Kluyveromyces lactis: one gene and its partners. The protein of the gene in region 2 interacts with the protein of the main gene of each other region in a pairwise test. Links are inferred from orthologs where the notes say so. Each region holds a gene or a part of one and is shown on either strand. Other genes may lie near its edges.

Region 1 (2,143 bases), on a different chromosome or scaffold from region 2:
GATCACCTCATCCGTATTCGTAGATTGCGTATTCTTCAACAATGTCTGTAGTAATTTCCCATTCTTTTCATCTAATTGCAAAGTGCTATCTAACTCTATACCATTTCCTACAGTTCCTGCTGATTTTAACGCCAGTATCAGTTCTTCCAGATATTTTACCCTAGGATTATCCATTTCCTATACGCTGAGAAGATATTACTCTTACACGGCAACTGCACTCTCAATCACACTCACCTAGGACGCCCTAACGAGAGAAAACTGTGTTTCTTTCATAGTCCAGCGTTTGTTTTTGGTTAGTTTCATTATTTATAATTTGACTTATATACAAATTTTGGTATCAATAAGGAATCTCAACACATACATAAATGTGGTATGTACATATGCTAAACACTTCTCCAGAAGTACAATTCAGGCGTCTTAAGCCATTTGCAAGTTTGACAACAGAAGACTAACTTACACAAAGTGTGCAGCCAGGAATTGCAGATCTTTGGGGAAACATTATTCTCTCTTATTAACAGTGTAACGCGTAAAACTGGAATACGATTTTCTTATTATTTCATTTTAAAGTCTTTAGTGGGTAGTTCATATATTTTGACTTTGTTGGCCTGCAGCAATTGATTTTTGCTGCTGCTGTGCGGCAGCATGCGCCGCACGTATTTCAGCCTCGTAATTCAGTGGTCTCTTAAATAGTAAAATATGTGGTTCAGGCGCATGGCATTCGTAATGTTCCCATCCCAGAGATTGTGTAATTCCTAACCCTCTCCATTCGTCTTCTGTTAAGATTCGCAAAGTACCAGTGTCTCCGTTGAAATAATCAGAAGGTATCACTTTTAGCATGGCCTTGGGAAGCATTACATGTCTGTATTCGTGTGTATCGTCGGAGTATCTTGGTGAATAATGAATGCTATCTTGAAATTCGAGAACTCTCGTTCTTTCCTGATCAGAAAGCTTTCTGCCTTGGAAAGCGTGCGTCGAATACATTGTTAGATTCGATCACAACTTAAGCTATACAATTGGAGTGTTAATTAACCCTAGACTACTGATGCTGGATCTTATTCGCTCATCACATATCATGTCTTTAGCATAACTGAAAAGATCTTAGGTATTAAAATAGTATTGTTTACAAAAAAAAAATGAAAATAAATATTGTTTAGGACAGAAACCAGATCCGTCACTATTGATGGTCAGAGATGAGGTAAAAGAATAGGACACAGAGCTATCACTGGTGTAGTGTCTACCATAATTACGGTATAGCTGAAGAAGGGTTTACCAATAAACGTTTGACTGTTGTTGTGAAACTGTTCTGCGTGCTGCGTTTGTGTGTTTGTATGTGCTGAAATGGCAAGTCGAAGTAATGTTTTCGTCGGGATCAAACCTCACAGTGAACATTCCGCTGATGTTCTTGGAACTTCTTCTACAGATAAAAGAGTAGAGAATTATGACTATGTGCTGCTGCCCTTGACAAATACCAGATACAAGGATGCCATGAAGGCCAAGTTTGAAGATTTTCGAGATCACGGTCATGGATGGAATGAAGAACTAAAGTTAGATCCTCCTCAATTGCAAGAGCTGGGGGTATTGCCATCTAATGGAAATGTTTCATATATTGGATTGGTCTCTTACTTTTTAGAGCTCGAGAGCCATGATGCTGATGTCCGGACTTTATCTTTGCAAGTGTTGGAGCACGAATTGCATTATGCAAATTTCGTTGGAATCAGACAGGTTATCTTAGCTCCTCCTAAAAAGTTACACACGCTTCATTACTACGCACAATCTTTGTGTACAGTATTTGATACTTTTAAAGAAGCGTGTCCGACAATATCTATTTCGTTACCTTTGTTTGAAGATTCAGATCCACTTTCGACTTGGGAACTGTGGAACACGATCAGGAAAATGTGCGGATACGAGCCTAAATTGACTGTATCTCTAGCTCTACCTAGACAGAAGACTCCCAGTTTTGTGCTAAACAGATGGCTGAGCGAACCTGTCACATGTCTTTTGATCTCTGCATCCATATTCACAACAAATCAATACAATTACCCTGTATTGAATAAATTTAATCAGCATTTAATCACTGAGTTCCAACGTGTTAACGGTAACGCATCAACATTTGGCGAACTAGCTATCGTTTTACATGGTATGG
Region 2 (3,472 bases):
TATCGTTTATAGCAATTGTCATCTTTAAAATGGTGCACAGAGAAAACACAAACAGCATTTTGCAGCTGGAATTCACCAACGATCGCGCGTATGAATAGTCTTAACTTCGCTAGGGAGAAAAACAGCCAGTGCCAGGAATAGGGCCAGAGCCAGGTCCTGTGTTTGCACTCATGCTACGGCCTGATTTCTTTATTGATCGAACACTTCCTAATAAGGAAAAAGGTAAACAACTATGCATATTTACGTTTTAGGAAAAATGTAAATAAACCGATGGACTTTTCACAAAAGCTCATCGCTTTGTAATTTGGTGCTACCTTTCTGACAAAGAAGCATCAACTGACTATATGAGCAACTGAGCGGATTGGGGGGATAGGGCATCACTGCGCATACTCCATTGCAGTATTCCTTTGGGTACTCCATGCTTGTGGTTACATTTTTCTTTTGGTTATTATTACAGAATGACGACAACGTTCGGTGACTGAGGGAATCCTCATTAGATTCTGTGAAGGGGAGGGGCGTCTGCTATGAAGCCATAAATCAACGTAGAGGTTCTTTGTAGACATTTAAAATTTCTTTTGTGCTACTTCTCCCGACAGTTGAAGCATCTGTAGTGAGGTATTCTTCTTTATCTTAGAAGTAAGAAGTTTTTGCTGCGTCTGTCTCAGTGACGATAGAGAAAAAGTAGGCTTTAAGCGAACGATCACAAAAGCTTCTCACGGTTCTTAAAGCTTTTTCGGTGAATCTTTCCATACAACTGGTGAAGAATTTGTATTGTTCCGATTGGAGTGAGCCTGTTTTTTCTTTTTGAACTTTTCTGGTTTGTTGTCCCTTGCTGTTTCTTTATTATTGTTTTGTTACTTCCTCAATAGGTTAGTTTCCAAATCGAATCTGAATCTGATCCAAGCTTTTCAGATTCATTATTTCAATAAAGAGGTTTTAGCTTTGAACAATCCCAGTCCATAGTTGACAATAGTCGATAGGAAACATACTACCAAGAGTATCGCCAGCGGTGAAGACATTGCTATCGGTAGAGACAGTGATAGCAGAAAGCAAGTTGATCAAGAGATCCTACGTCTTGCTCCTAAAAAGAATCGCAGAGTTTTTTTATACTGGAATCAAGATCTGTTGGTATAACTCTTAATTATTGATCTCCTGCAGAACTCATTGGGAAATTGGTAATAGAATAGTTGACTGAGTTGATTGCTAAAGCAGGTACTAAAGAAAGTGCAATTGTCTTTCTTTCCGATCTCTTCTTTTTAACAGAAACTAAATTAAAGACAATTCTGTCAAAGCATTATGTCAAAGGATAAATATGATAGAAGCTTGAAAAACTTGAACATGCTAAGAAGACCAGTGTTAAACAATGTTACTAATACTACTGAATCTACGTTCGGTAAAGTTTTGAGGCAGGCTAAATCAAGACTGCAGAATAGCAGGACGAATAATCTTCCCCAGGGTACCGCAAACTCGTATTCGAACACAAAACCGGCACCATTGAGAGATGACATAATGGTACCTGAGGATAAGGAGAATTACAATCCGCTAGCTAAGATTGATGAAAGAGAGGAGCTGGATTCTAATCTAGTTCATAATCACAAATCCCTGGGTACACAAAAGCATGTTACGATCGATGAAAGACAAGAAATAATTGGATATTCACATCTGGATACTGAAAAGTCTGCTCCATCATCATCAACATACAGCAGTGAGCATACGGAAAATGACGGCGTTCACGACGTCAACCCAAATGTTCAGCGTTCAGATAATGAAGCTGATTTCAAGATGCAAACCACAAACGCTTTTCACGAAAACGTCAACGATGGCAGTGACGCAACAGATGATGCCAGTAGTGGAAGTAAGAGTAGCAATGAATGCCCTGCTGTTAACGTCGGAAACAGCCTTGCGCCTATGCCAATTGACGAAAATGCTAACAATAGCGCTAGCAGTGTCGAATTGAGAGCAAAGCAACTTCAGGTTGAGGATTCGAAAAAGAGACCAATAAGCACTGTCGTTGAACAAACGTTACCTAAGAAATTTAAAGTATGTGAAAAGGGTAAAGAATATGAATGGGAAGATCTTGATGAAGAAGATATCAATGATCCCTTCATGGTAAGCGAATATGTTACAGATATCTTTGAATATTTGCACAGATTGGAAATGATGACTTTGCCTAACAGACACGAACTATTCAAACATGCCAACATTCAGCAAAATAGGGATATTTTAGTTAACTGGATGGTAAAGATTCATAACAAGTTTGGCCTACTGCCGGAAACCTTATATTTGGCGTTGAATATCATGGATAGATTCCTTTGCAAAGAGTTAGTACAGCTGGAAAAACTACAATTAGTAGGAACAGCGTGCTTATTCATCGCTTCGAAATATGAAGAAGTGTATAGCCCCAGTGTGAAACACTTCGCTTACGAAACGGATGGTGCATGCGATGAAGAAGAAATCAAAGAAGGAGAGAAATTTATTCTAAAAACGTTAGAGTTCAATCTCAATTATCCAAATCCCATGAATTTCCTAAGAAGGATATCTAAGGCAGATGACTATGATATACAATCCAGAACATTGGCGAAATATTTGCTTGAGATATCCATAGTTGACTTCAAATTCATTGGGATTCTACCCTCATTGTGCGCCGCAGCATCTATGTTCTTATCGAGAAAGATGTTAGGAAAGGGCCAATGGGATGGAAATCTAATACACTATAGTGGAGGATATACCAAAGACGAACTAGCTCCCGTGTGTAATATGGTTATGGAATATTTGGTCCAGCCTGTTGTACATGATGAATTGTTTAAGAAATACGCTTCGAGAAGATTTATGAAAGCATCGGTAATTTCTAGACAATGGGCAAAGAAAGTCATGTCCCACAACTATGATATAATGACACTACATGATTCAGAATAAATCACGAGATTCGATCATTTAAAGAAACCATGATCCTTCCGGCCTTAATTACTGAGTATGATTGGCCATTGTAGTGCCAATATGAAATGTTATCGAGGGACTTTTTCCTATAAGAAGAAATTCGAATCACGGGGTCAGAGATATGGAATCAATCTGATCCAATACTCAATTAGTTTCTGGGAAGTGGAATAGTACATGTTGCGCGTTAAAGGGAGGCATTCTAAAAGCATACTAAACCCAAAAAAAAAAAAAAACGATAACTATACTAATACTAATCATAATAGAAAACAAACATTGTAATAATTAATCTAGCCAACCCACATGTGTCAATGTGTTTTCCATTCAACAGATAAAATGAGGATTTAGACCTTAGTGAACCCTTTACTTCAATTCACTTTTAATATTTCACCTGCTCAAAAACTCAGAAAGAGTTCTCTCAGGATCATCAGTATCAGCATTATGTTGCAATCATAGGTATACCCACCCCTTACCCTTTAAAGTATAACCACTTCAAATAATTTACTTCTTATGTACACTTAGCATGTTTCTGAACTAA
Region 3 (2,528 bases), about 820 kb from region 2:
GAAACCGAAAACCAAAGGGTCCGTGGTCTTACCACTGCATTATCCACATTATCAAAATCCAATATGGTGACCTTAGATGTGATCACAACCCATTTCGAGAGACTAATTGAAATCATTAGAATGAATAAATCTGAAGAAAGTCAAGAACTTGCAGAAAATTTACGGGATGCCATTAGCCAAGAGTTTGCAAATTGCCTAATACATCCAATTCTGCCAACAGCTAATGAACTTGGATACAAAGTATTTGAAGATTTGTTGAGGCATAGAAAGAAAATCTTCAAAGAACTCAAGAGAAAAGGATCAAATCCATCATCCAGGGGTTGATGAAGGGTTTTTGTTAATATATATGACTTTTACATAGAATTAACACTCTGCGACGATCAAAAACGACAATCTTATTTCACTGAAATATTCTACGAAAATTATCGTAAGTATTGTATTTATAAATATGATGTTTTAGCAGTTTTTGTTATGTAGTGTTACAGGGGAATTCCATACCCTTCTTTCCTTATGAATTGTGTCGGTACCGTTAGCTATAGTTAAAAATAAAAAATAAAAACCCGTTTTATTCATGTGTCTTACCTACCCATCATGCCTATCTATTTCTTCAGCAAAGAGTCTCGTAGGTTTAAACCTTTGTTTCTCATCGTCAGTCAAATGTCTTTTAGAAACGACCTTCCCTCCTTTATTCACATAAGTGATTGTATCTTCCAAATCAGGGTCCTCAAGTAGCATCTTCTCTTTACGTTCTTTTCGCAGTTTTTCATCAGCAATATTATTCGAAAGAAATGGATTCTCTAAATTACTATGTTGGTTGACTGCCGTAGGTTGTTGTTCAATATGAATATTTTCTTCTTCGTTTTCTGATTGCGATGTATTCAGACCAGACTCGTTATGCCATTTTCTAGCAAGTTCAAAGGTGGTGATCTTGTCACTTGGAGTTCCTGGCTCTTGTTTAGCAAGTTTGAATTTGTTATTGACAGCATACTCATCATTGATATTATAACTTTGAACGCCTTTGAAAGACTCCATTATACCGGTTCTCTTTGGTGGTAGCAAAGTCCTGTTGTTTGAAGTTTCTTCTACTTGGAAATCCGATCCGAACAAGACCCTACTGACAGGTTGTAACTTCTCCTGGTCAAACTCTATCCTGCGTTTCGTATGTTTGTTCTTATGTGGGGTATATTCAGGTGTCTTTAATGCCGGGCATGGACTTGTTAAATTCATGGGTCTAGTAGGTGGCTGCAATCTATCCTTTACTCTAACTGTCCCCGGAGTAACCATGCCAGAGGAATCAGATTCCGCGGCTCGCTCTGGAGTTGCGAGCAGCAAATCTGTCTTATTTGATCTCTTATTCCTAGAACTTGGAGGGGTAGCTGGGGTCATTATTATGGAAATAAGAGTGTAATGCGTAGAATGCAAAAAAAAAAGAGGATAAACTCTAGTATTACCAATTGAAAGCTATTGATATTGTTTTCAGATGTATCGGTGTGTTGATGAGATCTAAATGAAAAGTAGCAAAGATGGTATAGAATGTATACTATACCGATGATATCCCTTTTTCTGTCTAAAACAAAACGGACTGAAAATCTGGCAACTTATAATGAAGCAAAAAGCAGAGTAGGTTGAAACCAGTTTCCAGTAACCTCACTATCGTCAAGAAGGAATTTGATATGAAGAGACTCTGATTCGATTACTTAGGTGCGTATGCAACCGCTCTATGCTGGATATGGTTCGCTGTTAAACTATCTTTATATATAGATATATGTGAGACTCAAAACCAGCATCTTTAATTTTTTTTTTAATGTGAACCACTAATAATATTGAACCAGCAACAATTTAGCAGTCATACTTGAGTAGCAGTAAATAACTTCTAAACAAGGATTGCGTCTGTGAGCAGTGGAACCACTGGAAACTAAGAAAGTTTATGGAACATTCATACGCATTGGGATAATTCAGATCGATCAGAATTGACGATTGACGCTCAACGTTTGACTCAGCATTTTCCTGTATTTCTCAAGAGTATTCCTTTCTTGAATCTTTTGGATCTTCATTAGCGATCAAGAATTTTTGCGATCACAACAGGGCTAAGATGGTATGTTTCGCTGGAGCGCTGCTCTAATTGTATTTCTACATTTATAGACACGCGTCGCGTATGTGTTACTTATTTACTAACTTACCTTAATTATTGTTTCCCACGATATCACTAGAACGCGTTGTATAATCATGCCATCAAGCAGCGAAGTCTTCTAAATAAAGACTTGGGTAAATTTGAGAAAGAGCTCGTAACAGCGCCGATCTCTTTGCAAGGGGCGATCGCCACAACCCTTGTTTCTTTCGAGAAAACGCTTCATCAGTACAAGGAACAATACAAGCAATATCAAATAAATAGTTCAGATGACAACGACGAAACTAAACTAAAGTATGAGACGAGACTTCAGACCTTAACACAGGATTACGAAGATGCAAAAGAGAAATTTACCGAATTGAAGCAAAAATACTCAGAAATTAATGCGAGAGATCAGTTG

The links.
Region 1: the proteins of KLLA0_D15543g (region 2) and CKS1 interact in binary tests that used the Saccharomyces cerevisiae proteins (3 or more experiments, as listed by UniProt). The link is inferred for Kluyveromyces lactis from reciprocal best matches to the Saccharomyces cerevisiae genes CLB2 and CKS1.
Region 3: the proteins of KLLA0_D15543g (region 2) and SIC1 interact in a two-hybrid assay, tested with the Saccharomyces cerevisiae proteins (2 studies listed by BioGRID, with this or other methods). The link is inferred for Kluyveromyces lactis from reciprocal best matches to the Saccharomyces cerevisiae genes CLB2 and SIC1.

Annotation. Positions count from the first base shown.
Region 1 is NC_006039.1:1,374,570-1,376,712, forward strand, and holds CKS1 (cyclin-dependent protein kinase regulatory subunit CKS1), read right to left. Parts: upstream 982-2,143; coding exon 583-981; downstream 1-582. Other genes in the region: protein kinase MEC1, read right to left, coding at 1-174; HSL7 (protein arginine N-methyltransferase), read left to right, coding at 1,339-2,143. UniProt on the Saccharomyces cerevisiae protein: Binds to the catalytic subunit of the cyclin dependent kinase (CDC28) and is essential for its biological function.
Region 2 is NC_006040.1:1,312,464-1,315,935, forward strand, and holds KLLA0_D15543g (cyclin family protein), read left to right. Parts: upstream 1-1,296; coding exon 1,297-2,916; downstream 2,917-3,472. UniProt on the Saccharomyces cerevisiae protein: Essential for the control of the cell cycle at the G2/M (mitosis) transition. Interacts with the CDC2 protein kinase to form MPF. G2/M cyclins accumulate steadily during G2 and are abruptly destroyed at mitosis.
Region 3 is NC_006040.1:497,205-499,732, reverse strand, and holds SIC1 (cyclin-dependent protein serine/threonine kinase inhibiting protein SIC1), read right to left. Parts: upstream 1,387-2,528; coding exon 583-1,386; downstream 1-582. Other genes in the region: GTPase-activating protein RGD2, read left to right, coding at 1-324; BOS1 (Bos1p), read left to right, coding at 2,093-2,095, 2,211-2,528. UniProt on the Saccharomyces cerevisiae protein: Substrate and inhibitor of the cyclin-dependent protein kinase CDC28. Its activity could be important for faithful segregation of chromosomes to daughter cells. It acts in response to a signal from a post-start checkpoint.